Arabidopsis thaliana: one gene and its partners. The protein of the gene in region 2 interacts with the protein of the main gene of each other region in a pairwise test. Each region holds a gene or a part of one and is shown on either strand. Other genes may lie near its edges.

What was found.
Region 1: the proteins of OFP16 (region 2) and FBH4 interact in a two-hybrid assay, tested with the Arabidopsis thaliana proteins (one large-scale study listed by BioGRID).
Region 3: the proteins of OFP16 (region 2) and KAN3 interact in a two-hybrid assay, tested with the Arabidopsis thaliana proteins (one large-scale study listed by BioGRID).
Region 4: the proteins of OFP16 (region 2) and EIL2 interact in a two-hybrid assay, tested with the Arabidopsis thaliana proteins (one large-scale study listed by BioGRID).

The regions. Positions count from the first base shown.
Region 1 is NC_003071.7:17,608,639-17,617,459, forward strand, and holds FBH4 (basic helix-loop-helix (bHLH) DNA-binding superfamily protein), read right to left. Parts: upstream 4,954-8,821; 5' UTR 4,526-4,953; coding exon 4,078-4,525; intron 3,814-4,077; coding exon 3,557-3,813; intron 3,451-3,556; coding exon 3,271-3,450; coding exon of another isoform or gene 3,253-3,270; exon of another isoform or gene 3,158-3,252; coding exon 3,092-3,157; intron 3,008-3,091; coding exon 2,876-3,007; downstream 1-2,875. Other genes in the region: AT2G42270 (U5 small nuclear ribonucleoprotein helicase), read left to right, coding at 1-2,210; AT2G42290 (Leucine-rich repeat protein kinase family protein), read right to left, coding at 8,354-8,821.
Region 2 is NC_003071.7:13,643,983-13,651,037, forward strand, and holds OFP16 (ovate family protein 16), read left to right. Parts: upstream 1-3,716; 5' UTR 3,717-3,869; coding exon 3,870-4,604; 3' UTR 4,605-5,020; downstream 5,021-7,055. Other genes in the region: PUR ALPHA-1 (purin-rich alpha 1), read right to left, coding at 1-54; AT2G32090 (Lactoylglutathione lyase / glyoxalase I family protein), read left to right, coding at 518-586, 939-1,169, 1,281-1,356, 1,595-1,626.
Region 3 is NC_003075.7:9,845,579-9,855,129, forward strand, and holds KAN3 (Homeodomain-like superfamily protein), read right to left. Parts: upstream 5,350-9,551; 5' UTR 5,121-5,349; coding exon 4,556-5,120; intron 4,418-4,555; coding exon 4,341-4,417; intron 3,561-4,340; coding exon 3,515-3,560; intron 3,437-3,514; coding exon 3,352-3,436; intron 3,141-3,351; coding exon 3,080-3,140; intron 2,691-3,079; coding exon 2,556-2,690; 3' UTR 2,355-2,555; downstream 1-2,354. Other genes in the region: AT4G17690 (Peroxidase superfamily protein), read left to right, coding at 549-1,529; AT4G17700 (uncharacterized protein), read left to right, coding at 8,744-8,785, 8,965-9,105, 9,203-9,404, 9,540-9,551. UniProt on the Arabidopsis thaliana protein: Probable transcription factor that regulates lateral organ polarity. Plays a role in lateral root formation and development.
Region 4 is NC_003076.8:7,178,496-7,186,849, reverse strand, and holds EIL2 (ETHYLENE-INSENSITIVE3-like 2), read right to left. Parts: upstream 4,262-8,354; 5' UTR 4,243-4,261; coding exon 2,665-4,242; 3' UTR 2,508-2,664; downstream 1-2,507. Other genes in the region: AT5G21130 (Late embryogenesis abundant (LEA) hydroxyproline-rich glycoprotein family), read right to left, coding at 37-882; AT5G21125 (uncharacterized protein), read left to right, coding at 1,422-1,802. UniProt on the Arabidopsis thaliana protein: Probable transcription factor acting as a positive regulator in the ethylene response pathway. Could bind the primary ethylene response element present in the ETHYLENE-RESPONSE-FACTOR1 promoter.

The DNA of each region.
Region 1 (8,821 bases), 4.0 Mb from region 2:
AGACATTATTGGATCTTAAGTTGCTTGAGAAAGGTCAGATAATCATAAGTACTCCTGAGAAATGGGACGCTCTGTCCCGGAGGTGGAAACAGAGAAAATATATCCAGCAGGTTAGTTTGTTTATCGTTGACGAGCTTCATTTAATTGGGGGTCAAGGTGGTCAAGTGTTGGAGGTAATTGTCTCTAGAATGAGATATATTTCAAGTCAGGTTGGGAATAAAATCAGGATTGTTGCATTATCAACTTCCCTTGCAAATGCCAAAGATCTTGGAGAGTGGATTGGGGCCAGTTCATGTGGCGTTTTTAACTTCCCGCCTAATGTTCGTCCTGTCCCACTGGAGATCCACATTCATGGGGTGGACATATTGAGTTTTGAAGCCAGGATGCAGGCGATGACTAAGCCAACATACACTGCCATAGTACAGCATGCCAAGAACAAGAAACCAGCTATCGTTTTTGTCCCGACCCGTAAACATGTCCGCCTTACTGCTGTGGATCTGATAGCATACTCGCACATGGACAACATGAAGAGCCCTGATTTCCTTTTAGGGAATCTGGAAGAATTAGAGCCTTTTTTAATACAAATTTGTGAGGAAACTCTGAAGGAGACTTTACGCCATGGCATTGGCTACCTGCACGAGGGTTTAAGCAATCTGGATCAGGAGATTGTGACTCAGCTTTTTGAAGCTGGACGGATTCAGGTATGTGTAATGTCTAGTTCATTGTGTTGGGGTACTCCATTGAAGGCACATTTGGTTGTTGTAATGGGAACACATTTCTACGATGGACGGGAAAATTCTCATTCGGATTACCCCATCTCTAATCTGCTCCAAATGATGGGGCGTGGTAGCCGACCTCTGCTTGACGACGCTGGGAAGTGTGTGATCTTCTGTCATGCACCACGTAAAGAGTATTACAAGAAATTTTTGTATGAAGCTCTTCCGGTTGAGAGTCATCTTCAACATTTCTTGCATGATAATTTCAATGCAGAAGTAGTTGCTAGAGTTATAGAGAACAAACAAGATGCTGTGGATTATCTTACCTGGAGCTTCATGTACAGGAGGCTTCCCCAGAACCCTAACTACTACAATCTCCTGGGAGTGAGCCACAGACATTTATCTGATCACCTCTCAGAGCTCGTTGAAAACACTTTGTCTGATCTTGAAGTGAGTAAATGCATTGAAATAGACAATGAGTTGGATCTCTCTCCTCTCAATCTTGGTATGATTGCGTCATATTACTACATAAATTACACCACCATTGAGCGATTCAGTTCTCTCTTGGCTTCCAAGACCAAGATGAAGGGTCTTCTTGAGATCTTGACTTCAGCTTCGGAGTATGACTTGATTCCTATACGTCCTGGTGAAGAGGACGCAGTTCGGAGACTCATCAATCACCAGAGGTTCTCTTTTCAAAACCCAAGATGCACAGACCCTCGTGTGAAGACAAGCGCACTTCTTCAGGCGCATTTCTCAAGGCAAAAAATCAGCGGGAACCTTGTAATGGATCAGTGTGAGGTCCTTTTATCAGCAACAAGGCTTCTTCAAGCAATGGTCGATGTGATATCGAGCAATGGCTGTCTGAATCTTGCTCTTTTAGCTATGGAAGTAAGCCAGATGGTGACTCAAGGCATGTGGGATCGAGACTCCATGCTTCTGCAGCTTCCTCACTTCACAAAGGACTTAGCCAAAAGGTGCCATGAGAATCCGGGGAATAACATTGAAACCATATTTGATCTTGTGGAAATGGAAGATGACAAACGCCAAGAGCTTCTCCAAATGTCAGACGCTCAGCTTCTTGACATTGCCAGATTCTGCAACCGCTTCCCCAACATTGACCTTACATATGAGATTGTGGGAAGTAACGAGGTAAGCCCTGGAAAAGATATCACATTGCAGGTATTACTGGAGAGAGACATGGAGGGAAGGACCGAGGTGGGACCTGTGGACGCGCCAAGATATCCTAAGACTAAAGAAGAAGGTTGGTGGCTAGTCGTTGGAGAAGCCAAGACGAACCAGTTGATGGCCATCAAGAGAATCTCCCTGCAACGGAAGGCGCAGGTGAAGCTGGAGTTTGCAGTACCAACTGAAACAGGAGAGAAGTCGTATACACTCTACTTCATGTGCGATTCTTACTTGGGTTGTGACCAGGAGTATTCTTTCACTGTTGATGTCAAAGATTCTGATGCCGCAGATCACATGGAAGAATGATTTATGTTTTCTGGTTAGTTTTCGCGTCTTTCTTTGTTTTCTGGTCATAATTTTCGCATTTAGCTACTGTGGTCGATCTTACCTTTTGTAATATCAACATTTGCTTACTAGATTCTGCATCGTAGCTGGAGTTTGCAGTACCAACTGAACCAGGAGAGAAGTCGTATACACTCTACTTCATGTGTGATTCTTACTTTGGTTGTGACCAGGAGTAGTCTTACTGGTGATATCAAAGATTCTGACGCTGCAGATCACATGGAAGAATAATTTATGTTTTCTGCTTAGTTTTCGAGTCTTTCTTTGTTCTTCTGGTCATAATTTTCGCATTTAGCTACCGTAGTTGATCTTACCTTTTGTAGTACAACATTTGATTAGTAGATTCTGCATTGTAATAATGAAATAAGAACAAATCGAGTACTATTTTATTACTTAGAATTTTGTTGGAAGCAGATGCTTTTCTCGAGAGCTTACATAGACAATTTGGTCTGTTTCGGCTAAAAAATATTCAGACATGACATTGTTTCTTTCTTGTCCTTCTCCCTGCTTTTTAGTCCTATCTACTACACACTTTGTTGCGCCCTATATTGACTTCTTCTCCTTGTTCATACACTTACAGTTAGCTCTGTTGTCGTTTAAAATCTGTGTAAAACCAACAGAAGACTAAATCAATTCAACAGAAGACTAAACAGGCCCCTTTGTTTTTTTTCCACAATGATCAGGAACTTTACCTTATACTGTCTTTGTAAATCTTTGATGTAATCCACAGCTAAATCCAACATATCCGAAGTGTTGGTTTGCTGTTAAAACATAAAGAAAACAACATCATTTAACAATTTGTTTATGATCAAAAGTCATTACAAGGAAGTTCCTGAAAACTGTACCTTGTCCATGTTAGGAACAAGCTCTTGTAACTTCCTCATTCGCTCGCTTATCCGCGTTCTTCTTACCTGACACAATTGACAAGATTTCTTAGGAAAGGCTTTCTGAAAACAAACTAGATTCTGCTTCAAATGGACTTCCATTGATATATGTAAAGATGGCCTTAACTAGGTGAAGTTACCCGTTCAGCGATGCTTCGAGGATGTGTAGCGCAACCACGTTTGGCTCTGATTTTACAAGGAACAGAATCTTGTAGCTGAAGATACTTATCCACTGAAACCATGTCCGAGGCTGTCGATGATGACTTTGGTAGGCTCAAATGATGCGACAGTAACTGCATACGATTCCCGGACTCTCCGTTCTGTAGAAACCCATCAAAAACATCATTAGAAACCACTCCAAGAAATCAACTCCACTTTCAGCTACTGATCAATAACCAAAACAAACCGGTTAGATAACCGAGTTACCTGAGCTCCGAGAAACAATTTTCCATCGTCCTCGGCTTCTCTTTTAAGTGAGGATAAGTTATCAATAAAGCTGGATGGATCATTCCAATGGCTATATGGAAAATTAGTTTCGGGTGCGATTTCAGGTATTTGAGAAAGCATTCCAAGTGAAGAAGGTGGCCTTGAAGAGAGACTGCAATGGCGTCTTAATCCATTGGAATTAGATGGACTCTCTTCATCTTCTTCGTAATTCATCAAATTCCTCATTGAACCATAACCTGCAAATTTGTAAGTATATAGTAAACACTTATTAGATTTGTTGAGTCCAAAGTGCTTTAACTCTATGGTTGACAAAATCAAATCAGATCTTGTCTTAAAATTATTCTCAAGGAACGTAAAACATTCAAAAATCTTGAAGCAAGTGTTAAAACATTCAAAAAAGTTGAATCAAGAAGTACCAAAAACACTTCTGTTATAAATGAAAAAAATATTTCAGACTAAAAAAAGGGGGAAAAACTTTGTAGCAGAGAGCAAAACGGTACCGTTTTGGTCAGAGAGATTAGTAAACATTCCGGCTGGAGAGCTGCTTTGACGGAGAAGATTAGATTCAACTGGTTTGGTGTGATGATTATTGATACCGAGAAACTGATCCAAACCAACCGAGTTCATTATCCCTTTACTCTGCCTCGGGTAATGCGGCGGCAAACCCAGAAAACTCGACGGCTCAAGCTGCGGCGGTGGCGGCAGAGTGGCGGCGTATGAAACAGAGGTGTTCGTTAACGAAACCGGAGACTTATCCTCGAATTTAGGTGAACCCAGATCTCCGTTAACGCCATTAGAGGTCACGAATCTTGAAAGCAACCTATCGGAGTCGAAACCAATCTTGTCGTCGTCAACAAAAGCGGCGAGAACAGAGCTCGGAGCTGATCTAAAACGAAGAAGACCCGACCCGGTGGGATTCGGGTCGTAGAGATGATTATTTGAATCCATTAATCGAATCAATATGTAAAAAAAATGCAACGAAATTTCCTCTGTTTTCTCTTCTTGTAAGCTCTGTCTCGTGACGTTTCAGGAAGAACAAATTTGTAGAAAACCAAATCTTAATAGCTTTCCAACGTCAACCGTTGATATGAATATAAGCTTTTTCTTCTCCCTTGTTAAGTTCTTGTTTGTGTCACTTTTCCCGGGAAAACAAAACTTGAGCTTGAGATGTGAGCAGGTGTAGGATTTGGGAAATATAAAACCTTGAAGGGGAAGTAAAGGAGGTTTCGTCTGAAGATGAAGAAGAGAGAAAGAAGAACGGTGAAGTCTGATGAGAGGAAGAGAGAGATGAAGGTGATGATGAATATTTATCGTCTTTTTGCTTCTGAGTTTCTGCGTCCAACTTTAATTGCTGAAGATAGCGGCGGATCCAAAAGCTTTTTTACCAAAAATTTATTAAAATTGAAAAAGACGTCGTTTTAAGCCGCCTGTGAGGCTGAGTCACGGAAAATGCCTTTTCATATTTTTTTTCAAGAACAATTTTACTACTATTTCTTAAGAATATGAATTTTTCTATATAAAATGTAATTGAGAAAAGAGTAGATTTTAGATGAAAATACATACTTTATACTTGTATACAGGAAGAGCATGTGAAGTAAATTACCTACCTAATCAATTTTGACGAGTATACTGATGGACCCGTGACAAATTATTATTTCTCATCTTATAATCTACATGTATCCATAATATCATTTTATTACGATTCTTGTTTTTTTCTTTGTCTCTGTAAAATATGTGATGTTTCTACCCTAATTTATAACACACGAACAAAAATATCTGTATGTTGGGGACAATGAAATCGCTGGTAGGCCATACGATTACAATTTACAACAAGATGCACCAATCATAAATATTAGTTTCTTTTTTTTTATTGGGTCGGTAGTTTAACAACCAATGTAACAATTTAACACTAGATTCGAAATTTAACGACGTAAGGAAATAATTTTAATACGTTTTAGGGGACATGGATCTAATATGTCATGGTTACGTTACTTCAAATTTGTTTTGTTTAAGTACTCATTATTCAGGAACCAATAATGATGTTAGAGTACTTCATTCATAGTCAGCAATTGTACTGACAAAATCTAATATCCATTCGCATGGTACAACTTAGAATTTAAGAATTAAAGATTGTCCCATCAGAGTATAAAAGTCAGAAGTTAGATGTTAATATAGTTAGACACGAAAACGTACTTGAAATAGAAAGAAAGAAAATTGTCGGAAGTACAGTTTGTTTGTAATAAAAGAGAGATCAAAACTGTTTGAACTTTTTAACCAATATTTACGTACGTACGTAGCTTTCCAAATCCGATTTTAAGGTTCACGGAACCTATACAGTGTACAGCTTACGACACGATCGTGACGGAGGACGTTGACGCCGTTATCACCCATTGGGAACGTAAGTTGGCGACTACTATAATCTGTGTGACATACGGTACACCTGCATGAAAAAGTAAGATTTGAAACTAAACTCTAAAACCTTAGTGGTCGATGGATTATACAGTGACGTGACTCTATGTGAACGATATACACCAGATTACGTCTCCTCTAAATCTCTTTAAATCTTATCTTAGTTTAAACTTTAATAATTCACGAGCGCCGTCTTTTTAAAATCTAAATCCAATAAAGCGACTTGTTCTCTATGGAGTTTTTAGCTATTCAGCCCTTTAATGGAAATTGATTAATTTTTATATTTTCAAAAACCTATTCGTATCGTATCAGTCTGAATTTTTAGCTTTTAGTACAATGTAAGAATTGAAAAAAGAAACCGAACCATTGAGAAGATTGGGGTGGTGAATTTGCTTTGAATGTGAATTTATTCTCTATGGAGTTATTAGCTGTTTCATTCCCTTTTTTATATGGGGACTACGGTTTATGTGCCTGAGGCTCTATATATATTGCATATAGATTGATGACATTGACATAGGCTAAGCTACATAGTCTTAAAACTTCGAGCTGTTTAATAATTAATCAACAAGAAGACAAAATTGTATGTACAAAGCACATGCACATACATAATACTATTACTATTTAAGCATAGGTAATTAATATTTAAAAGTTGTACATACTATCTCGAAACTAGCTATATACTGATGATACTTTGTTTTATATCACTAACGAATGGGCAAACATAAAAAATATAACTCAAAACTACATTGATCTAATTCAACTGAATCAAAATTTCGTATCACCGTGCAATGAAAAGTATGTTTAATCATACGTAACAAATGTTTTTGTTCAAATCAAACCAGTATTTCTTCAAAGGAATCCATATATACCAATATATGATTAGTTATCTATAACAACTATTTTCCAAATCATCACACACAAGTTTTCTCAAGTGCTCTCACTTCAATGCAGGTCATAATCTCTTAGTTTTTTTTTTTTTTGTAAAGACGTGCATAAAACAAACTCTTCATTGCTGAAGTTCTTTTTCGAAGAAAATCAGTGGTCTCAACAATTTTCTTCTAAATGCAATGGATACAACGGGAAAAACACCCAAAAAAAAAAGAAAAAAAAAAAGAGATTGAAATTAAAGAAGCAAATATCAAGTGCCATTTATAAAGGTTTGGCCTAAAGAAATGTGGAAAATTAGAAAGCAAATCCCGTCCGTGGCTATGTGGATGGGAACATGGACACGTGAGACCCCATTAGTTTCTCAATGTTGTTGTGTACATTTTGTTTTTTATACTGTTTGATAGTAGTATAAATATAAAAAACAAAACGATTCCCATCAATTTATTTAAAAATCTTTTTATGTTCTTAAGAAAAAATAGATTACATTGATAGAAGTGGGGAATCGTGGTCCAGCTTTGGCTTTTATAATGTCAACAAGCTCAAAAAGGGGGCTTCACTATTTTTATTTTCTTCCAAAAAGAAACTTCTATATTAAGCAAGTGTTTCTCTCCTTTTTTATTTAATTTTCTCGAGTGGGCTGCTAAATTTGGAACTAATCAATCGTGCTGGGGGCAAGATATGTTTTGCCATGAAGATCTCTCTCTTTTTGGTTTATAAAAGTCATACTTTTTGTTGTCAATTTGAACAAAGGACCAACGGTGGGATCTGATCATGTTTGATGTTTCTGACAAAAAATTATATTCGAAATAGATTTGATTTTGCCTTTCTTTCTCATTTCTTATGTTATTGCTAACGATCGGTTCAAATTTATTTCATTTCACATCCCCCATGCGCAAGAGATATGCAATCATGCGATTGAGTATAATCTATTTTCCCGTTTTCATAATATTTAATTAGAACAGGCTCACAAAAGAGCTATTGAGTCTCTTTTTTTTTTTTTTGTTAACCATGATCTTTCAAAAAATCTATGCATCTATCAAAATCGAATATAAGTTTTGACCAATGAAAACAAACAATTTAAAATACATGTATAATTTATAAACCCACTTGGTGATATTATATAATTCTTTTGAGTTTTGGAAAGATAGGATCAATCATGCAAATTGCAAGGATTGTCAACATTTTTTCGTATTTTAATCTTTACTTACAAAGCCTGATAAGGTTTGAAACAAGATCTTTATCATAATTTCCTTATTAATATTATCTGTGTAAGATTCTAGAAGGGGCAAATAATTTCACAACCAAACTCTCTTCCTTAAGACACAAGGTACATGTGATGATAAACAGAGACAGACACTTGATCCGGAAATAAACCTTAAACCCTTTTAAACTTGCCATAGAAACTACAAAACTCCACTTAGCCTGAGACTAATACATACACAACTAATTAATCCCGGCTCTTTAAGAAGTGGTTAATTCCTATTTGATCCGACCTAGAATTTCAGACACAGATCTCATCCTAGGACGCATATCTGGATCCATTTCCGTGCAGTTTAAAGCGACATGGATGGTTGCAATAACCTGCTTATTCGCAAAATCCTGTTTCAGAAGCTTTGGGTCTAAGATCTCAGCCAAAGATCTCTCTTCCTTGTGCCACTTCCTCAAAACATTCACGAGTTCTTCTTCTCCTTCGTTTTCAGAGGAACCATAAGGTAATCGACCAGTCAACAGCTCCAATAGAATCACACCAAAAGAATAAACATCGCATTTGTGAGATAATTTGCAATCAGAAGAAGCTCGGGCTTCGGGTGCAAGGTAAGCAGCTGCAGGAGCTGAGACTGAGAGTCTTGTGGCAAATCCTTGGTCTATACTTTGCGTCATGGATGATAGTGAATGGTCAGTGACTTTGGGATAGCCGGAAACCAGTCGTGTGAGACCAAATCCTGA
Region 2 (7,055 bases):
GGTTACCGCTCTTCCGCCTTCAGCTCCTCCTCCTCCGCCTGAATTAGCTTCCATTTCAATCTTCAATTGATCGATCGGAGTAGAAAATTCGGTGAAAGAAATCTCTTCACTGAAGAGTTGAAATTGACGTCTGATCTGGTAAAGGAAGTGCGATTGGAAGAATGAGGAATTGGTGGAGGTGAGAGATTACGGAGCAATAAGGGTTTAATACCGGACCGGATGTTTTAAACCGGATACATTGTTTGGTCGGGGTCCGAACATTTCTGATTGGTCGGATATTCAGATTAAGCAACAGATTAATTTTTCTTGGAGTAACTGCAATTACGTATAATAATTCTTTTTTTTAAAGTTGGTTTTAGTTTCACTGATAGTCAAACCGATCGGTTCAACCTTATGGTTTGATTAAAGATGTGTTATAAGGAGCCGATGCCACGTACTTTTACTAATCTCTTTTTTGTCGACCATTTTTGTTTCTGAGTTGTTCTTCTTGATTAGCTTTGTCCGCTTGGAACCAAACATGGCGAGTCTTGGCCATATAGCCAGAGAATCATCAGACATCACACGCCTCGCCCAGTTTTACAAAGAGGTAACGACACCTAATCGACGTTTTCAATTTCTTACACTTTTCTTTTTCTTATCTCTCTTCGTATTCTCTGTTCTGGGTTTGTGTTGTTACTACCAATTTCGACCCAAAAAAACAAACGCACTGAGTCGATTACCCATCTGGATTAGAATCTATGGTTTGTAATTTGGCTTTTTATTTAGAGATTTGTGTTGCTATTGTGGCTTTGTCTCTTTCTCTTGTCACTTATCTCGTTTCTAGTTTCTATTGAGAGTGTCCACTTTTGGATGCCTTTAATCCTTTTGATTAAGTTAGTGTTATCTTCATCTTCGTGGTTTGTTCTGAAACCAATGGATTATATATGTATAATTGTCAGGTGTTTGGGTTCGAGGAGATCGAAAGTCCTGATTTTGGAGACCTACAGGTGGTGTGGCTAAACTTACCAGGTGCTTTTGCAATGCATATTATCCAGAGAAACCCTTCAACAAATCTTCCAGAAGGTCCTTACAGTGCTACCTCAGCGGTTAAGGATCCTAGCCATCTCCCAATGGGTCATCATATCTGTTTCTCTGTCCCAAATTTCGACTCTTTCCTTCATTCTCTCAAGGTATTGTTTCTTTGGCTTGTTTACATGAGCTTTTGATGGTACAGTTATGGATATGATTGGTATCTTTCAGAGTTATTTAATCGATCCTTTCTCGTCCTTGTTATGATGTAGGAGAAAGGGATAGAAACTTTTCAGAAGTCTCTTCCTGATGGAAAAGTCAAGCAAGTTTTCTTCTTTGATCCTGATGGTAATTAATCTCTGTTTTGCTCTTAAGCCGGCTTAATAACTATTATAACTTGGTCAGATATATGTCTACTTTTCTTATTCAGCACAAGCATTTGCAAATTACAGTTCTTGTGTATTATATATTTATATGCATTGATGCTTTAGTACTTTGGTCTATCGATCCGGAACATGTGTTCTAGGATTATCTTTCAGCGATCCTGTCTGTTTCAACTTACAGATTCTGTCGTCAAATTTTGCAGGAAACGGATTAGAGGTAGCAAGTCGATCATGAGCCTTGAACCTGAAATATGTGGTATCACTACTTATAGAATGAAATAAAAGTATTGTATAAATAATCAGTTTGTTGAAATAAAATCTATATGTCTAGGTTTGATGTTAACTTGTGACAGCTTACGCCTCAAAGTTCGTGTCATGTGCTTTGAATGTTGGATGTATCGAATTTATGAGCTTTTCCTTGTCTAGTAGTTCCCATGTCTCTATTACAACACCGAAGAGATTGGGATAGTTATAATAGAGAGAGAGGACGATAGAGACCCAACTAAGAACAACCATACATTCACAACTCGAGATATTTTATTCATTTATTGTGAAGAGTTGTTTTGGTCATATAAACTCACCCGGTTCAACCCGGATTGAACTCATCAAACGTATCATTTCTAACTTCCGGTTGACTTGTATTGCTATAAAGCTTGGTCGAATCAGACCTAAACCTCAGATATCGAGGCTAAATTATGGTTGGCTAGATCATAGTCGGGTCGTAATTAAACCCAACCTGAAGTGAACCGAATTGGTGGTCATTTGCAACATCCATGTGTAGACTGATGACCCCAAAAATAGCAAAATAGAGAAAAATGTGTTTCAAAATTCCAGTCTAAACAAAATAGGGCATCAATTTGTGGGGCTAAGTTGTTGTCCATACCCCCAACATGGCAAGAGGCATAATGGTGTGAAGGCATTACAAACATTCTACAACTTACCATAATCTAAAATCTTATGATCCATCAGTCGCCGCTTTTGTGGTTCTTATTTGGTGATGGAATATTGGCGGACGAATCATGAGTAGCTTATGTAACAACAAAGTATGATGATAGCTATATTTTCTGTTGTGGCCCACATAAATTTATCCATATGAAAGATGAGTTCGAATCTTTTTTTTTTTTTCTGGTGCCGGATAACTACGCGAAGTGGTACCACCGGTCCACCCTAGCCTTGGCACGATGATAGCTCAGCTGTGCATTTCGAGTGTTATCCGATACGATCTTTACCAGTAACGAGGGATAACCCTGAAAATATATAGGCTACAAGCAAAAATAGTCGCTAAACTATTGAATATATGAAACACAACAAGTTTCAAACCTTTCACCAACACGACTTCACATTAGTCTCTATAACCAAATCATAATGAGATAATTCACAAAAACATGCTTCCAAAATACTTATTATATTGGATGCTTCATTTCCATTTTTAACTTGCTTCTATCCATTGTCTATTCTCACCCGCCAAATTACCAGCAACAGCAAGTCATAACTGATCGTTAGTCCTTAACTCCTTATTAGTTATTACTTGATTCTACATGTACAAAAATAGCCAGACTTAGTTATAGTCACTGGTGGCTAAAATATCTTTAGGACTTGATTAACAAAACAAATATTGACCGAATGACCTGCTTGGTCGGACCAGTGAAAACTCGACCTGACCTTGTGAATCGGACCGGTGGACCAAAAACCAGGACCACACTAGGGAAGTATTCGTACTTGAACTAACGTCTTTTGGCTTTACGTCATGATGAGTGGACCAATCTAGGTGGTGGATGAATTTACCTCCTCGTGAGCTCTCTCTATTCTGTAATTGCAAGGACACTCATTCTTCATGTTTTGCAGTTTTTGTAACTCTGACAAACTATAAGGTTATATGAATAAACCAAAATTTATAAATACTATCATTCACGTATAAAGAAAGACCTCCCCATGTTGAATTCAGCTTTGTACGTCAGTGTTTCAGAAAGAAAGTGAATAATTACAAAATTAGAAAGTATCAAACCAAAAGAAAGAAAAACGCTAAAAAAGTAAATATCTGATATTCAGATTCACTCGAAAGTACAATACCCTTTAGGGAATATATGTTTTGTAAACGTTTCATCAATATAGATGAAAATTAAGGATCCTAATAACTGCATTTAGTCAATAGTAACAAGTACCATTACTTTGTTTTGCAAGTCGCAACACAAGTGCATGTGGTGATTGGTGAACACATAGTCAACATTGAGACTCTCGGTAGCTACATAACGATTCTTGAAAATGAGATAAATCAGAAAATTGATAGTAATTCACTTATTCATTTATAAAAAAAAAATTTTTGGCAACATTAGTATATAGAAATTTGTAAATTACATAAGTACCCTTTTATAAACGTAATGAGACATTTGTGTATATATATGTTACAAAATAAGCCAACATATCCATTTGCTCGAGACATTTATTCTCTTAATTCTTCTCTCTCTCTCTCTCTTAAAAATGCCAAAAATCTTGTGGAAAAGCCTCCATCTTTGCTTCCCGTCAAATCTCACCAAATGCTATTCTTCGCCGTGTATTCCTCCGTCCTCCGCCGATCCCGACGGTATCATCCAACCTAACCGTCCCTCCATCGTTCTTCTCAATAACTTCAACCTCCTTTACCACAATGACAACCACCACCACCCCCATCGTGTCATTGACTTACCTTCTTCCTCCACCACAACCACTCCGGCCGCCACCTCCTCCTCATCCACGTCATCATATGAATCTGATATCTCTCCTGATGTATCCGCCGCTTTTGCTTCCCGTCGCTTCTTCTTCTCTTCCCCTGGTCGGTCCAATGCAATCACCGACTCACCAGAACCCCGGTCAAGAGAATTCTCTGATAATTACGATGATGCCACTATCACGTCGACAAAGAAGAAGAAAAAGAAGGTTTATGATAATTCCGTGACTACTACTACTACGAGGCTTATAAGCGGAGGAACCGCCGTAACTCAACACGTGGACTCACCGGATCCGTTAACTGACTTCCGGCGATCCATGCAAGAGATGATTGACGCCGCCATCGACGCCGGAGAACTTAGTCGTGATCCGAACGACGGTTACGATTTCTTGGATGAACTGCTACTCACTTATCTCTCTTTAAATCCAGCCGACACACACAAGTTCGTCATCAGGGCTTTCTCCGACATATTGGTCTCACTCTTGTCGGAAGAACGCCGGATATGCTGACGTGGTGATGGCCGCCGGGATAAAAAAAAAACTCCCGTGCAATGAATGCAACACGTGACTATTAGTTCAGTGAACCTAACTTTCTTTTTTCCAATGTACGTCTTCATGGAAGAGTAACTAAGCAAACCAGAAAAAATTATTACTGACAATTTCATATTTTGTATGTTTTATTAAAATAATTGAATGATGCAAAGGATAGAAGAATTTTGAGATAATTCATATATTTGGTTGGATAATATAAAGTTAGATATTTTATTGACGAAAAGAACTTCTTTTAAATGGTTTATAGTTTTAAAAAACAAAATTCGTTAATATAAACCGCACAATATAGCAAACCGGGATATCAAAACTGGTCCACTCCATGATTGAGTGAAACAGACATAAAAACATGTTTTTGTGTTGAACATCACTATTGGCAAAAAAAAAGAAAAGTATTAGAACTAGAAGTGAATTTCTAATGTGATATGAATAACAATAACTTGGTTCGGAGGTAGAAGTAATTAAAGAAATGGTTTAAACGTTAAAACTTATGAATTAACAAATAAATCAAAGCTAAATACGTCCAAAAAACTTTATGATAAGAGTTAAAATGGAACTTGGTTGGATCAATGAAGCATAAGGTTGAGTAGACAACAATATCACCAAGGTACAAAGCTTGAGGCATCGATAAACTCTCTAGTTGCTTATATTATGTCAAGGCATGCATGGATCGTGTTTTAAATATTACTATGTATCCATACTTTAATAAAGAGGCATATATAGTTAATGTTTCTACAATATATAAAGTAAAAAAAGTAGAAGTTTTTACTTTCTGTATGTTGCCTCAGTTCTTAATGTTGCCTTCATGGATGTATATGTATTATCGTTAAGACAACAAAAGGATGCTACTTTTTGCTTGTATAGTTGTATTGTTTTGTTTCTGTACAAAATATATAGACTCTGTAATATTGTTTTTTTTTTGTGAAGAAGTAATATTGTTTGTTACATCAATTAAATAATGAAATCTATTATTTTCCTTTGCTTCTTTCCATAAGATTTACACGTAACACAATGTGAGACAAAACAAAATAATTGAGAATCCTAAGAGACGGATGTTGGAAGGTCCACTCGACCAAATAAACTTAAAAAATGTAGCTAATACTTTAAAATAAGGGTCTAATTAAACAAAGTATTATAAGTTAGTTGGTTTAGGTGAAAGTAAGACCATGCCATTTGTCTTATTGATCAGTGTTCACTAAAGAATTAAAACTAGCCTCTAGACCCGCTCAATTGCGAGTAAAACACTCAACTTAATCTAATTAGTATAAGATTATACATTTCAACTATAAAGGGCTAAATAGCTCATATTTGTTAACACTTTGAATTCATTAGTGAACTAGCTAAATCTCATTTTTGCAATGAAATCAGCATGTCTTTTATTGCATGAAAGGTGCTTATGGGCGAAGTTGCAACTAATTTTTTTTTTTACTTTTGGTAAAAAAGTTGCAACTAAATTTGACTATGATGAGTTTACAATTTACAAAAAATAATAAAAAATGACTATGATGTTATATATTTATAATTAGAGAAAATGTGCGTTTTGTTAAATCGTCATGTATATGTAATAACTGACTATGATTTTATCGTAAGTTAAACGACTCAAAACGTGAGCAATCTTAATTATACTTTTCGAGTTGGTAAATGGTGCCTTGTTTTCTGCCGCTTGTCTCCAACTCTGCCTAACCACTTGGTTGATAATGATAAGTCAATAGAACCTATGCCACAATGTTTATGCGTGTGTGTGAGAGAGAGAACAAATTTGGGTCAAACGTACAGTAGAGTTTCATATGTCCATTTGACCATTTCGGTGCGAATTGAAGGTCATTTAGATAGGAAATTATCTGTCAACCACCTCACTGTTTTAAACGAATCAGAAAAAGAATCCGAGAAGAAATAATTTGCTTACTAGCTAGATTTAAGTGTTGAGATTTTTTTCAATGCAATTGCCATTTTCTTAGCCAAGCCTTTCTCCGAAATATCCCGTAAATCACAAAATACTTGTGATTACATCCCATAACGAGAATACATTTTATAATGGTCTAATAAACTCAAAAACTATAATAGTGTATAAATAATTTGTCGTTGAAATTAGCAAGTTGCCGTAGTCAATACAAATCATGTGATATCACATGTTACGACTTACGAGTTTAGACGATTTTTATTTATTTACTTATAAATGGATCCATGCATGTTATTTTCTGCAAAATTATACAATCACTTTTGAGTCCAATAACTTAAAAGTTCCACACCTACCTAAATATGGGTCAATCTCAAGATATGAGATCACTATCGAGACAAAATAAAAAGTTTGATACTCATGCACTGCATTTGGATTTCTTACCTTTCCTATCAAAATTAAAGTTATACGCTTTATTGAATTGTCAACAACATCCTAAACACTAATGCCGTGAA
Region 3 (9,551 bases), on a different chromosome or scaffold from region 2:
AGTCAACATTTTTCTTAATTTTGTTTTTGTTTATATTTCAAATCAAGAGCAACATTAGATTAAGTAAAAGTTTGCTTGTATGTTTAGCCTATCAATTTAAATTTTCATATCTCTAACCATCAATAATGTTTTCTGTAGATGCTTTAGTTGATTAATCACCATTCCAAAATTCTTTCAAAAACAGGAGTAGTAATACAAAACAAATCAATTGAGTGATTAATCACCTTCACATTTCCCCAATTAGCATGCATTCCATGTTTGTGGTTTAATTAACCTAGAAGCCAATCGATTTTATAATGAATTAGTGTTAGAAAACGTTTCTAATGAAAAATGAAAGTAAAAACAAACTAAATATAGACCAATCACTGAAATAAAAAGAACATAACAAAAGCCAAACTCCAACCACACGTACATGCTTCTATATTTCACCGATAACAATTCAATAAAGAAGTCTACCTCATAGACATCTCTTTACATTTCAATTCCGTTTCCATATTTTACAAACAATATTTCTTTCACAAATCGATACGAGTCTCGTGAAATACACAATGTCTTCGGTTATAAATGTTCTCTTCGTCGTCCTAGTCTTTGTCCCGTCTATATACTCGGCACCACCACCAAATTTAACAAAAGATTATTACCAAAAAACATGTCCCGATTTCAATAAAATCGTACGTGAAACCGTTACACCAAAGCAAGGCCAGCAGCCAACGACAGCTGCTGGAACACTCCGTCTCTTTTTCCATGATTGTTTCATGGAAGGATGTGATGCTTCCGTCCTTATCGCTACAAATTCTTTCAACAAAGCCGAACGTGACGATGACCTCAACGAGTCGCTTCCGGGAGATGCATTCGACATTGTGACTCGCATCAAAACCGCTCTTGAATTGTCTTGTCCCGGGGTGGTGTCCTGCGCAGACATCCTGGCTCAGGCCACACGTGACCTTGTCACAATGGTTGGTGGGCCTTTCTATGAAGTCAAACTGGGCCGTAAAGATGGTTTTGAGTCAAAAGCCCATAAAGTCAAAGGAAATTTACCTTTAGCGAACCAATCCGTCCCCGACATGTTATCGATATTCAAGAAGAATGGTTTCACTCTAAAGGAGCTGGTTGCGTTAAGTGGCGGGCACACAATCGGATTCTCACACTGCAAAGAATTCAGCAACCGGATATTCCCGAAGGTTGATCCAGAACTCAACGCGAAATTCGCAGGAGTTCTTAAAGATCTATGCAAGAATTTCGAAACCAATAAGACGATGGCAGCATTTCTCGATCCGGTGACACCGGGAAAATTCGATAATATGTATTTCAAGAACTTGAAACGAGGTCTTGGACTGTTAGCTTCCGACCATATATTGTTTAAAGATCCTAGCACGAGACCGTTTGTAGAATTATATGCGAATAATCAGACGGCTTTCTTCGAGGATTTTGCACGTGCCATGGAGAAACTAGGCAGGGTTGGTGTTAAAGGCGAAAAAGATGGAGAAGTGAGACGTAGATGTGATCACTTCAACAAGCTTAACGTATAAGTAGCATAAACAGAAGAACATCATTGACTTCGATCGGTTTTCTTTGTATTTTTTTTTTAATAAATGTATTTATAAATAAGTAAGTTAATGTAACAATTTTGAGTGCCTAAAATTTACAAATAATCTTTGTTATATAGAGAGCATTAGATCTTACTTTATGGAGGAGAATACAAATTCAAGTTCTTGAGTTATTTCCCCATCATCTTCTTCTTTAAAACAAGTGTCTCCGTTTTAAGTGTTGTTGGCCAAACTTCGACGAATAAAGTCCAAATTGATTATTAAAACGGCTCAACTTGTGATAAGGCCTTTTCGCCGGTAAGTATTTTTCTTCATTTGCCACCATAAGATTATGATATTTGCGTTGTAGCTAGAAATAGCCTCCGATATTTTTACTGTTCAAATATACTTTTTTGCTATATTCATCTAAAGTATTTTTGATTTGACCAATCTAAAATTTTAGTAAAATATACTATATTTAAGTAAGATTATGTAATTACTACGTATTTTCATTATCATCATCGTATGCTTCATGTGTCTAAAGCTCTTGTTAAGGTTACCAATAAAAAGAATCTTCGTATGGTTGGTTAGTTTTCTTAACATTTGGAATTATGGATAGATTGTAATGTATTTCGTTTTATTCTCTTTTTTGGCTTTACTCAAAATGAATAATTAGAAGAAAAAATTAGTGAAAGTCTTCGTCGGGTCAACGTCACAAGTGTCAGACACGTGTCAGAGAACCATGTGTTAAGAAGTAAAGCAGTCCGATTTAGACACGTGGATGAGTCATAGCTTTGCATCGCTGTAATGATGACCAAATAATTTTATTCCCATTCAAGACAAGAACAAGCATCTCAAATTTATGACCCAAAAAAAAAAGCATCTCAATTTTACAGTACAAAAGGAAAAATGAATAAAGGAAGAAATAAACGTCATTTCATATATATTTTTTCAAAAGCATAAACTTTTAAGTTTGAGATTTATATAATTTTTAACAGATAATATGTATTTTTAGTATATATAAGAAAATTAGGGAGAGAGGTTTGGTGTAGCTAAAGTGAAATCAAGATTGGGAGTTTCAGTCTCTGGTCTTGTCCCTGTAAGGCTTGACGAATCTGACGACAACCGTTCGTTGCTTGGACATCTTCGATTCTTCCATTCATTCTGACATCATTTTAGAATAAAAGATTATATATTATAAGAATCATCTCATATAACATTTCATATATAGACTGTGTCTTTATTTTCAGTTTGCTTTCTATTTCAAAATTTCCAATTAAACTATTTTGAAGATTTAAAGACAATCAAATCTAGTGAATTGGGTTCTGAAAATAAAGTATCATAGATATCAACTCTCCAAAACAAAGTCTTTAATTTCTCTGCTTTTGAGACAAAATCAAAAGAAGAAAAACACTTTTTTACCCAAATGGAAGAGAAAAAAAGTAACTTATAATCCTTTATAAAAACTTTTTTTTTCTTTTTTTTCAGCCTCGAATTTTGCAAGTCCCGTTTTATTCCAATGCCCTTTTGGTTAAATTTTTGAAATCTGTTACCTCATTGGATGAAATGTCTACACCTGATGATGCCTTTGCCTTCAACTGGAACCGAGCTTCACTGTTTATACAGATTCAAATTATATCACATTGATTTTTTGAAGGAACAAAAAAGAATAATATAATGCTAATGATTTTGGCTCAACTAACATAATATTATATATATTAAGTTTCTCATATGATGCAAATATAGAAAGTTGCCTAATAAGTATATACATATCTGTCCAACAAATACTAAATTCTACTTAGGCAAATATTAAAACATAACATACCTTGAGGAGTTATTCCATAGACCCGTGAGATTTCTTGCTTCTCTCTCACTGTTTACTTGTGATCCATTCTCACAATCTGACTGCCCTATACACACACGTTTATCAGATGTATAGTATTTAACAGATAATTTAATTAAATCAAATACATAATCAATCAAATAACCTGATGACGTTGTAGGTTTTTCAGTAGACTTGATGGTTCGATACATCTGAAACATTATAGATTAGATTACTAATATTATATATAAGTGCTAGTTATAAGAATAATTAATAGTTATATCGATCAATACATACACATGAATTATATATAATGTGTGTGTGATGTTCGTGTGTTTAGACTTGTTCCATTCAGGCATTCACGTGTGTGTATATAAGGCTATAACCTAGATATGCACGCACACAGAGACAGAGATGGATAAAGTAAGAAAAAAAGAGATCAAAGTAAAACAGAAAGCATTTACGATTCATGAAAATGTGCAGCCATACACAGAGATGGGAGATGTGCATGGGTCTACGTGCCTTATTCTGACTATAGTCAAATTATGCAAAACAGCAACTTATATATTTGTTATCATTGAAGAATCATGCATATACATATATGTGTGCATATCAATCTAAATATCATCATTGAAGAATGATGTCTCCTTTGTACTTTTACTTTTCTACTGCATCTCTAGTAATAAAAGGACTCTTTCTCTTACTCTTTGTCTATATCTTGCTTTTGATTCCTTCTCTTTTTATCTTTTTTCTTTCTTCACTTTGTATATAATTTCTTTATATATATATATATATATATATATATATATATATATATATATATATATGGGGGCGACCAAAAGTTTAACCATGTCCAAATTAATCACAATTTTTCTTTTAGCCATTTCATAAAAAAGTGCAGTGGGTTTGGTTCATTTGCATATTCAAATCCATAATACAATAAATTCATTTATTTACCTATACATTATGTACCTGTAACTTAAGAAGATTACCTGTAGATGGGATTTAACATGAGCCAATGTGAGATCTTGCACATCCATCAGCTCAAGTACTGATTTTGGGGTTGCTCCTGGATATTAATCATAATTACTAAGTCAATAAAAATAGAATTTTTGATCAAGCCTATTCATTATTCTTTTTGTTAAAAATGAAAAAGAGATATAAATTCAATTAAATAAAAAGGGGTAATAGTGAAAAAGGACAATACTTTCATGACCACCCAATAATTGAACAGCGTGTACAAAATGGGCGTGGAGGGTCGTCGTCCACCGCATCCTTGGAGCCCTTACTCCTCTTTTGGCGGTGAATCTTGGCGGCTGCGGTTGAGCTTGACGCCGATGACGGTTGTGGAGATTAAAACTACAATTAGGGTTTGTGATTAAGCGACGACTAGCATGTTGACCGTTGACTTCACTGAAGAAGAAAGGATTGGGAGAGGTAGATGAGTAGTAGTAGTGGTCAAGGACTTGATTCTGGTAAAGAGGGATTCCTCTTATTGGTCTCATCATAAAAATAGATCTCAAGTCTTGATCGAGAGATTCCTTGTGTTCTTGATTACTATTAATCTTGGTGGCTTCATTGTTTGAAGTGAACTGGAGAGTGTGGATGAGATTATTTGAAGACTTGTTGTCTAAATCTGAGGCTTTACTCTGAAACCCTAATCTCCTTTCGACTTCTTGTTCTTGTAGTTCTTGACTTTCTTTTTCTTGTTCTTCTTCTCTTCTTCGGCTGATCTTCAAGTACAAGTCAGGTTGTGAAGGGAAAAGCTCCATAAGAAGAGAGAATTGGTGAATGATTTTGAGATAATCTTGATGAATTTTATGGGAAAAAGGAGGGGTATAATGTTATTTATTTCAAAAAGTTTTTTTTTTCTTCTTCTTAACTTAATGAATTTTTGTTCTTGGTGAGAAGAGAAAAGCAGTTGTAAAGAATTAGAGAGAGAAAAATAGGGATGGCAAAAGGTATGAGGGAAATGAGAAGTCTCTTTCTTCTCTGTTCCCTTTGAGAAAATGACACTTTAAGAGTCTAATAAAGGGGTTGGGTGAAACATGAATTTCCATTTAATTTTTCCTTTCCCTTTTCTTCATATGTAAAGGAAAATACCAATTTATATGGCATATTTTGTTACAATGTAGATATCATCTATCACATATCAGTATTTAATGATGGTATAATAAAACAATAATGTATGGAATTATTCGATTATTTGTGTTCAGATTTACATGTGAAAATGACACTTGTGTTGAAACTGAAAGATGCGTGTGTGTATATGTTTTTTTTTCCTGATAATATCATTGTAGAAAATTTAAAATAAGAATCAAAGGCTGATATTTTCTTAGAAAACAAAAAAGGAACAACCATAGCTACTTGTTTAGTTGTTGATAAAATGCTACTATATATAAAAAATACACCTGCATGAAATTTAAGAGATGAAGATACATTAAAACCAAAACTGAAGTCTCGTCGTCACTTGTTGTTTGTCTTGTTTATTGGTTTAATTCTTTGTCCTCCTTGAAATCGGAGTTTGGAATTATACCGAACATTACGAACTTGGTGGCTGGGTGCCTAAGAATAAATTGAATATGATATTGCGTCTAATTAATACCTGAAAAAGCTTTTCTTTTTCCTTCTATATATTGTTTGTGGAGAAAGTGATTTTGTTTACGTGATAAGATAAAATTTAAGGAAAATAAGAAATGGGAAAAGAATAATATCACATTGACAGTGAGATATCACCTTAAAATATATATTGTATATAGTTTCGATTATGTTTATTAGTAATTTTCAAAACAAGTTAACATTAAAGGTTTTTTATTCCACGAAGCATTAACTTCATTTCCATCAAAATACTATACGACATTAATTTAATTTTGGCCCTAGTGACACCGATAGACAGTCCAAGATTTGATTCCCAAAACGCCCTTTGATAATTCATGTCCCCTAAGCCCATACATCGACAGATAATGTTGGGGACGATCCTTAGATTCATTTGTTTTTTTTTATATTTTTCACATATTTGATTAAACTAAGAAAATCTGAATCCAAAAATAGGTTTCCGTAAAAGTCGAACCTTTTTCCAGTTTTAGTTCCGGCAGCACGAGGAACGATATAAGACAAACGGAAAGGAATTTTTATGGAAAATCGATAGAGAAAATAAGATTAAAGAATATAATTTAATTTACTTGATTGGAGGCACTACCAACCGACGATGCATAAGACAAAGTTAGAAGCTCAAAAACATTACTAGGTTAGGAGATAAAATCTTATTCTTTTTTAACCGAATCATTAAATAAATCGTATTAATCGAATCTTATTTGTTTTTCAGCAATCCGCGATTAACTATCATCACTAGTACTTGAGTTTTGTAGCAATGAATCTTATTTGTTCTTCTCGTCGTCACATACAAACAAGAAACTAATCATGATAAGTTCTGAGGGGTCGGACTTAAGTGACGAATAAATAGGAGAAATATCAAAAACTATTGAAAATTTATAGTGGTCAAATAGAGAACAAAGGTTCCCATCAATTTGAGTAAGTTACTCCGACACGGGGACGTAAGAGTGAAACCTAGTGAAAAGCATGCTGTCCACTTCACTTAGTGTAAAATTGTAAGACCTTTCAGGGCACACAGTTTGTTGTATATTTTAGATTTTTATTTCGTAAGGTTATCCGTATATACGAATCAATTTCCTACATATATATATATATATATATATATATTTCCTTCATAATGTGATGAAAAAGAGAAGTACAATAGGAAAAAGATTGATTGAAAAATGAAAAAGTAGAAGCACACTTAATAAAGGAGTAGAGGAGAAAGATTTGGAGTTTATAGAATAATTGCCCCCACGAATCTTTTTTTGGGAGATATTTTAAGCAAATCTTAACTTTGGGGAATTTGATAAGAACCCACATTTCTATTCGGACAAAAGAGTTGCTTGCAAACTTTAAGTCGAAAAATTATTTATCTGGTATTAAAAGAAATGAATTAAAATCTACAAGGGAAAAAAAAGAAAAACCTAATCTTAGCTAGCTGGTTATACGTGTGTCATGTAATAAAATGAAACTATTTGACTAAGTTCATATTGGGTGGGACTGGTATCACTGGACTGTAAGGAATTTGTTTTTAATAATAATATTGTTATGGTAGAGGAATTCTTATTTTTTTAGTAGATTGGTGTGTTATTGGTTTGATAATTTTTTAAGATTAGGATTATACGATGCAAGTTGAATTATTGAATTTGTTTTGTCAATTGTAAGAAATGACAATAATTTACGCATCTAAATGCTGTGGGGAAGATATAAGCTTTTTGTACAGTAATAATGGTTACTTACTATTCCATCAACTATTAAAAATCATGTAAAGAATAAAGACCTACCACTTTCATTGTTTGCTAGCTAGTATATATATATTTATGGTTAGTAAAGTAATAGAAAATCAGTACAAAGACAAAATTTAAGGAAATGAATTAAGAGTTCTTGGTTTTGGTGCATGTGGAAATATTTGAGGTTAAGACTGTTTACTGTTGGAAATTTTAAGCAAACAAGACATAATCAATCATTGTTTTAATTTGGGATGTAAAAACAATTTTTTTAATGCCTAAGAACAACCTTTTGTTAGTGTGTGTATGTATATATGGATACATATTATTTAATAAATCATTTTCTATTGTGTGTGAACGAACATATAACTCAAAACATAAAAATACTAAGATTTACTAATTCTTGTTTGATTAGTATAACAAAATTCACGAAATTATATTAATATGCACATATGTGTTTTTTTTCACAAAAAGTTTATTGGGCCACAAAATCTAGCCACAAATGAATCGCATTGGCCAAGTTTCTACTTGATCGAACAACTAAAAAAGCTTAGGGTCACTAAACATTTTATTACTTTTGGGAATCAGATATCTCTGGAAATCTCATAGAGGTTTGTCTACTTAGAAGTTTTTAATTGCCTAAAATTCGTTGTCATAAAGAATGGGGCTGAAGAAGATGTGTAAATAAATATATAAAATTATGTTTCAGAGAAAAACTCCCGAGTCCTCGCATCCTCTTCATATAGTCCTATTTATTCGTTTAGGACCATTGACCTTCTTCTTCAAGAATACCTCTACCATAGTCAACACAAACCTACAAATGCAGAAGGAGATAATTAAGATGGTTAATAACAATTTGTTTCTTCAAAAGCCCGATGTTTATAAAAATTCATAAATGGACAAACTCGACAATTGTACATTGGGTTGTGGAGGCCCAATTAAGGCCCATATATGAATCTGCAGTTTAATGGCATATAGCGTGGAGGAAACGTAATAGATTATTAAACCTTTATAGGCATCAGGCGTCAACCGATTGCTTCCGCCAAGCAAAGCAAAAGTTGAGAAATTTAGTGATGGAGGAGTACGAGTTTTTGGTCCGAGTGAGGGAGGCTGGGGTAATTCTTTCATCTTCTTGGTTTTTAGTTTGATGTCTCTCTGAATTTATCCACAAACCTAACCCTAACCCTATTTCAGTAATTTGTGTTCAATTTGGATTTATAATCGCCTCTAGTGTTGCTTGGATATATGACCGAAACTCTAACTCAAGTTTCTGTATGCTAATAATGTGTGTCAGGGGTTCGACATCGAGCATTTAATGGACACAAAACCATCCTCTTGTGTGATCGGTTGTCGCGAGTTTGATAATAATGATGATTACAACGCCCATATTGTCCTTTTTGCTAGGATGGGGATCCATAAGTACAATATGATACAGGTGAAAAACTTGTCTCCTCTTGTGTATATATGTTCTTCTTCTTCTTGCAATCGAGTGATTCCCTTAATCAATTCTTGTTGATATATATGTATGTCAGGGGACGAACTTGCAGCTCAGTTGCGTAGAGAAATACAATTATCGATCTCCAAGAGTATATTCCGCCTTCTATATAACCTTGATTGCTAAGGATCCAGATGCATGCAATTCCCTTGTGACTTTTCAGACAAGGGTTGTTGAAGAAGGCTTTAACATGACGAAACTGTCTTGCAATATCGCTAGACCTAAGCCCGGACCACAAGGTAAAGGTCTTGGCACATTATATCAGAGAGTAACAAAACAATTTGCTTTGAATGAAGACAAATTCCAATCATCTTTATAACTCTACTAGTCCCATATGGGTTTACCTTAATCTATAATGTGACTTTTCTATATAGAAAACGCTGCGT
Region 4 (8,354 bases), on a different chromosome or scaffold from region 2:
AAGCCCATCAAGGCATAAACAAAACTAGCTCAAATTTTACAACAGGCTCAAGCCCGTTTCGCAATTTTCCGTCTTCACAGTTGCTGACGCCGTTAACTTATCCACTGTTATTTTGCAATCCACCGTAATGGTCATCGTCCACGTTGTAACGGAGCCAACCTTAAACTTAACCGGCGCTTTAATTCTGAGACCAAACGGCACTTTTCCTTTCTTCTGCGATTCCGTTAACTCTTTACGCGACGAGCTCTTTAACTTAACACTCGATCCCTTTAACACCGTCACGATCACCGTTACATTACCCGCCGGCTGCTTAAACGCCGTGAACTCGCCGTTCCCAAGTTTGGTTCCGTTAAAAAACACGTCAGCCTCATTTCCTTTCTCGTATATCAAACCGAGTTTACCTTTAACGTTCTGAGATCGCAACTTGATTCTGATCACCGGAGAAAACGGAGAAGATGACGTCAGGTTGATTCCGGTGACGGAGACTCCACTCACGGAGAACTGTGGCTTATGCGGCTGGTAAACGAGGTAGAAGAATCCGAAGGCAATCGCTGCGAGGACGATAATGATGAGTAAAGCAGAGAGGGAATAGCATAAACATCGCCGGCAACACGATTTGTTTGTTTTCCGGCGAGAGAGATACTCGTAACGGTGAGCATTTTCCGGTGGAGGAACACGGTAGATCTGATCCTTAGGGAGTTTGATGACGTAAGTCCCAGGCGGTGGTCCTATTCTTGATTTCTGAGAATCGACGGAGTATCGGCTGGAGGAACTATCGTTGGTATCTAGCGATGGATGCTTTATTCTGTGAACGTCTTTGTTAGTTAGGAATCCGTCGGAGTTTGTATCGCCGGTCATTTCTTGTGGTTTCTCGACCGTCATTTTTCTTGAATCAGAGAAATAATGCGAAGCAGATGAAATGAAGGTTTTGATTTGGTGACAGTAAGGATTTGGAGTAAATCATTTTATTATAAGATAAAGAAAGTGCATATTTGGAGATTAGGACGTGATTGCATGAATATCGTCCAAATATCATTTTGGAGATTCTTTTAATAACAATTATTTAATGAGTATATATTATTTTGTTGATTATCTATTAAATTTTCCATTAGTACAGATGGAGAAAGAAATTGGAGGAACCTTGAATGGAAAGTTTTAATAGAATATACGGAATGTAAAAATTGGTCAATGTAAAACATTTTTGCCAAGAAAAAAAATTGAAGAAGAAAAAAAAAAAAAAAAAAAAAAATATTGAAGAAGAAAATGAATGAAATAAAGTAATAGACAAAAGAGCTTAACTTGACTGAAATGAGAGGATGCAGCCAATCCTAGCATGGAATGGAATAGTGGTAAGAAAAAACCGGTAAGGATTTGATCATTTGAATAAATACAAATTTGTAGATGAGTGATGTGATCATTATATGGGAGACGATATGGGAGGCAATAACAAAGGGCATCTTCAAAATCAGTACAGAACCGACTGGGCTCAAGTCTTGGATTATGTATCGAACCAAAGCAAAGTAGAGCGGAGAGCTATCTGTCTCGCTATGCTCTACAAACCACTGTCTATACAATTTGAAAGGAGAGGAATGGAAGAAGGCACAAAAAGGAACCACATCCGGGGGCTCTTATCACAAAATGGATTTATAAACAAATTTGTATTCATATTTCCACCATTCGAACAAGAGGAGATAGACGGTACGACAAAGCGTATCAAGCATGGATCCTTGCTAGAGTTTAAGCTCCTGAGGTCACCAAACCAAGCTGCTCTTTTACAAGCGTTTTTTTTTTTACTCTTTTAGATCTTTTTAAAATTTATTTTCAAACTCACGAACCACTAAATTGTACAACGAACATTTTTTTTTTGAATATAATTTAACATTAGATTCAAAAAAGTAAATATGATCATTATAGTGAATTATAGCAATACATTGAATTTTTTTCTTTTATAATCAATTGTTTCGATTTTCTTTATTTGTATCAACGGTTGTATTGGAAATATTTATATTTCTTGTAAACTCTTTATAATATAAGTATTTGATTTGCCGAAAAAGGTATAGTTTTATATAGTAAGGTCTTCACATAGTTTTATTTTATGAATTTAATATGCGAAATATCATTTAAATATTTCTGAAATTATTCATATTAACTTTAAAATAGCATATCGTCAAACTTAGTTTATTTGATTTTTCAATTTGAGATTTATATAGAAATACATCTTTTAACCATTAATCTCTTTTAAAGGCACAAAATTAATTTAACACATAAAAAATCTGTTATTTATAGAAAACAATTCCCTATAAAAAGACATAATAAAAAGACATAAATAAAAATATTATCATACCAACAAAGTTTAAATTATTTAATATTAAAAATGTCTACAAACGCCTTCTTCCTTGAAGCCCAAGGCGAACACAAATACACACCTCTAAAGTCTAAACAAATAAAGCATTTTCTACTGTTCTTTTGTCAAAAAGAGAGGCTCTTCAAATCACATAATGAATTACTTTGAATTTGGTTATTAACTTATTATGAAACCTAATCTTCTCCATTGCTACATGGGCTATGAAATGGAGAGATCAAAAACTGTGTTTAATGAGAGAATAAGCAAGAGACAAAGCTATAAAGACTAGAAAACATAAAAAGAAAACTCTGAAGCTTTCTTTACTGAATCCAAGATGTGGGCAACTCTTGCCCTTGATTATGCAGATTGTTCTCTGTTCCTACTGTTTCCTCACCTCCATTGAAGTCAGTAGGTAAGACTAAACCAAGATTCTGATTCAGCGTCGAAGGAGAAGGATTCAAATCCTCAACCAAGTCATCGTTGCCTCTTTGTGGAGCTTTTGGTCTGTAGAGATCGTTGGGATGATTAAACTGGTCTTGAAAGCTCTGAACCTGCTGCTGCATCCCGTTATAATCCGGACAAGGAACCATTAAACCCGTCATACCATAGGGTTTAGTTGGTTGGTAGAAGGAAGTGACTTTATAAGGACAAGTCATTTGGTGATTCTCTCTTAAGTTCCTGTCAAGAAATCCCATATGTGGTTGGCTATAAGGACAGAGACTGTTCTCACATGTTAGGAGTGTTGGATGCATTGGCATCCCAAAATCTTCTTCAAACTTTCTCTTGTAAACACAGTTGTAGTTGTTTTCAAATTCAGGATACTGCTGATTGGTCCGATGAGTGCCACCAATCAGTTCAACATCATAGTCTGTAGATTCAGGAAACAAAACATCTGGGTCTCCACCGGTTGCAGGAACAAGAAAGTTAGAAGTGTTGTTGTTTTCTCTAGACATGGCTATTTGATCAACAATAGCCTTTTCTCGGTAAAGAGCAGCGAGCCATAAAGCGCCTTCTCTTGACGTCATTTTCTCCTGCAAACTTCTAGACCGTCTCACGAGATTGGGTATGTTGCTAATGTCAGAAGCCATATGTCTGATTACACCAATCAAAACACCAATTTTCCACAGCTTCTTGAGATCATGAGGCTTCTTGTAAGGTGGCGGAACACCTCGAAAATCAACGGGTAAAGACAGTTGATCCCACCAATCTTCTTTCCCCGTTGGCCACCATGGCGGTGTCACGCCTTTCTCCAACGGAAACCGCCTCTGAGGAGGGTTGCAGTGAGGAAACAGAGCCGATAACAGAGCTCCAAGAGTAGTATCTTGAAGCTCAAGCAACTTCTGTGCGGTAGAATCCCCAACCTCAGACCCTGAATCACTTCCATCAGAAAGATTGATATCCCTTTGGTGCTTGATTATAGCAGCTGGGCCGTTCCTATCAAACCTCACTTTGTCTTTCCACCATTCACGGAGATTATCAGAAGATCCCGCTACCGTTTTCCCATTCTCTAACACAATCCCATAAACAAAACCTTGAGCTTTATATCGCTCCATTGTCTTCGACATGTACTTCAAGATCCCATCTTGTGCCTTGTACATGGTTCTCTTACTAGAGTGCTCTGGAAAATCATCATGTTGCTGCTTCAACAACAATCTTGTTCCTAGACCGTTCTTCGCCATTTCCTTGAGCCGCTTTAAACGCTGCTTGTCTCTCCAGATCTTCTTCTCAAGCTCCTCTATTTCCATTTCCTCATCACTACTCAGATCATCGCACAAAGCCGTATGCGAATCAGAACACATATGTCCCTCTGTAAATGGAGGCGCCGAGCTACAAACTAAACTCCGGAACATCCCTATATTGTTGTTATACATATCCATAGAATCTGCAAATAATGTCATCAACTATGATTCACTTTAAGAATAAAATTGCATAATCATCGTCATTTAGTAATGCCGTATTTATCAAAATCTAAATTAAAACTCTCTAGCAATAACATAACACAAAAGAAAAAAACAGAGACTTTTAGTGAAAGATCGAGAGATCTAACTTGTGAAATAAGATTCATCATATGAATAACACAAAGATTTAGAGATCCAAATTCCATTAGTTATTACTCCCAAGGGATTGAATAAATACTATAGGAAAACTACTACCAAAGAGATTAAGTACATAATATAGGAGAAATATTTAGAGAAGGTAAAAGAAAATCACAAACAAGATTAATGGTTTATCATCAAATGATTATACAGTAAAAGCATCGATCTTTTTCTTTCTTTTGATTCTTATCAAAGCATATAACGACAAAACAATCCAGTCCGTATTACTACTGAAATACTTGATCTTGCAAAAGTGAAAATGGAACCCATCGGACAAAATATCAGATAGACCAAACCCAACAAGTCAAAAAACAATATTTGCAAGCAGACAATATACGTAAAAGCAAAACAAAACAAAAACAAAAATAAAGAGAAATCGAAGGAAGAAGAGAATATACCCAGAAAACTCTTGAGACCTTTGTGTTGCTTCGGCCACCAAATTCAAACCAAAGAAGCTATTGGGACCTTCAGAGAGAGAGAAGAGATAGAGACATGTATGTATGTATGTTTGTGTATCTATATATATTATGAGCATTAAATAAGAAGAGACTGCGAAAGGGTGGTGATAATAGGCCTGTAAAAACCATGCTAAACGACACATTTCTTTGTGTAAGGATATGGTAAAAATTTCTTATTTATCTCCTTTGAGTTTCATTCCATTTCTAGTTCAGATTCTTTATTTAAATATATAGTCACTTCTTTTAAAAAAAAGAAAAATTAACATGCCCATAAAATGGTTATTTCTGCCTAAATTATTTTTTGTTTGATAGCCTAAAATTATTAATATCAATATAAAAAATATAATCATGTCTACTATAAGAAAAATATCAAATGTAGATGTATGCTTAAGCGGGAAAAATATAACCCCTAAACATAAAGCGAGTATTTTTGAAAACAAATAGGAATCAAGTACCAAATATAGACATTTTCTAAGGCACGTAAATTTACTATTTTAATGGTATAAAATCGTAGCATGTAATTTTTTTTTTATAAAATATTTAAATAATAGCTTTAAATTAATTGGTGCGTATGTTTGAATTTTAAAATTTGTTAATGCATTTAATTTCATGGGGAGCTGTATCTAAATATATCGGTCTAGATAAACAAATAGTAAAACAGTAAGTAGTTCCGTACGATCTATTTATACTTTAAAAAAAACAAAATACAACCTATTTATACTAATTTACTTGTATTAGTTTTATCAATTAGTTTTTACAATGGAATTTAAATGAGATTCTTGTAGTTCTACCAAGTCCTGAATACTAAAAACTTATCATGCCCAAAGACTTACAAAATAATTACTCTCTTTGTATCAAAATAAAAACGTTTAAATTTTTCCATATTAAGAAATTAATGATTTTCTTTATTTTACTAAATCAAAAGATATTTTATGATTTATCTAATCACAGTCCAACCAATAAAAATAAAGTAAAAAATGCACATTGTCATAAAATATATAGAAATTATTACATTTTGCTTTGAAAATGTAAACAAATCACATAATATGATATAGAAAAAAATATCATAGTTTTAAATACAAAAGCTGGCAGAGTATGAAAGAAAAGGGAAAAAATGTTGCCAGTACTCACTAATTAATTCTGATACATATATGATAATGCTAAAAAAACAAAATTATTGAAGAATTCCTTAAAATAGCTCAGAATTGTGGCGCTTTCAATTTCTTACAAAATACCAAATTTCCATGATTTTTGTTTAAACATTTAAAAGCATACAATTTGACATTCTTTAGAATAGAATAAAAATACTTAGTTTACCATTTTTGTTTTTGCATTATATTAGTATATGCTAGATATAAGAGCCTTTTAAATTGCACAAGCTCATAGCATTAAAATTGAAAAGTTTCATATAGGTAAGTATTTTGTATTAAGAATTGTGAATTTTGTATTCTCTATGAATTTATGATATCTTATATATACTAATATACATTCAATCCCTTTGGATACTGGCTCTAAATATTTGACCAACAGATTGGTTTCTAGTATTACTGTCTATATATATTTCCCCATTTTCCTTTAAGCATTCCATAAATGTATTTTTAATATAAAATTAGTAGTTAACAATGTTTTTTATTTTAATAATTTTCTATTTATCCAGACCATCTCAAGAAGCCAAAATTTAAAGATGATAATATGGTGTTTTAAAATCTATTTAAAACAATCCTTTGTAGCTTATTGTATTGTTTTCTATGCTGAATTGTAAACTGTGTCATATAATTGAAGATATTATTTTTTCTTTAGACAAACAAATATATAACCTTCTAAATCACATTGTCTATATATCCAATGGACGATTATGATTCTTATGTAAATCGATCAACATTTTTCACAGTGATATTTGTAATGCACGACTCAAAAAATAAAATAAAACTCTCATCAAATATTCGTTTTTCGATTTTAAAACTCTCCCATTAAAAGATAGGTATTTGAGATTTCGTAATCTTGGCGCCATACTATAAATTGTCGGGTTTCTCATTGCAAAATGTTATATAAACTACTTAATAAATCATGAAATGTTGACCTTTAATTATGATGATATATTATCTATAACTGTTTGTATAACGGTCAACGTGTGGGTAATGAAACAGGTAATACTTTCGTTTTATTTTATTTTGGTTATCCTTTAGAAATGTCAACTAGTTATCTAAATATCATATTTGATTTTAAGTTCAAATGAGATACGGTATATAGTACAACTATATATTATAGGGTATAAAACCTATTTCAAATCAAAGAAAAACAATACCAGCATGATGTTTTTAGTATTTATTTCTTAATATGATAATATAATGTTTTCTTAGAGAAAATGTAGAAGAGGTGCAATGAATATAACCAAATAGCCAATAGGAAAGTAAACAAGTGCCACGAAGGCACGTTTCGTCGCCAGCAATGATTCTTTAAAATGTCTGAAACGTGTCTCCCGGGATTTTTTTGTCGGCTACTCCACAATTATTGGAACTCTCGTCGTTTTCCTATAAGTAATGTTTTATTAATATAGTATGTGAAAATATGCAACTATCTATCGTACACATTAACCAATTAACGACCACTCGTAAACTGTTTTTAACGTCCTTGCTTTGGCCTATATGCCTTATAGTGCCCATGTCTCTCGAATGGTCGGTCGCCAAAATTATTCAAACTCAAATCGTGTTGAAAATTCGTCAACTCATAGTCATAGAGGCTTTTATTATCTTCTTATAAGTACACTTAAAACACATTTGACATAGATTGTCACTTATTATTCAAACCGTAAAATGTCCATAACCATTAATTATATCTCAATATACTACTAGACTATGCACAGTTTCAAGAGTTTTGCGTGCTAGTAGGGCTTGAGATGTAACTAGCAACTATTACAATCATGAATCCTCTAAAAGTAAATTCCGATGAATTTATACCTGCTTCAAGGTAAATGATACGGATGAGAACAAACGGAGTTATCTTGACACCATCAACAATAGAAGGGTATTCCCACAAAGATTGATCCCCAGCCTCCTTCCTCGAAAGATACCATAAAGGATTTATGCAGCATATAAGGTATGTAGCGTTTAAAACTAAGTGACAAAAACACATTAGCAAGGCATAAAAATGTAAAGTCATGAAGATATGTAAAACATATTGTGGCCGAACTAAGCCTAGAGAATCAAATGCAAAACGATGAAGAAGCAGGCCTAGACATTAATTAGTTCAACCTAAGTCCTATGCACATGTCAACGGAAGTAGCAACACGTGGCTGTCCTATGAAGGTCCATGATCTTGATCTTTCATTTGCATCCATATTCCCAATGTCGAAAGTTTGAGGTTGTAGCCATGGGTAGTGTTTTTGCTTCCATTGAGCTCATGATACTAGCAGTTTCTTTGCATTGTAGATATTGGGATCATTTGGTTAGTTTGAAT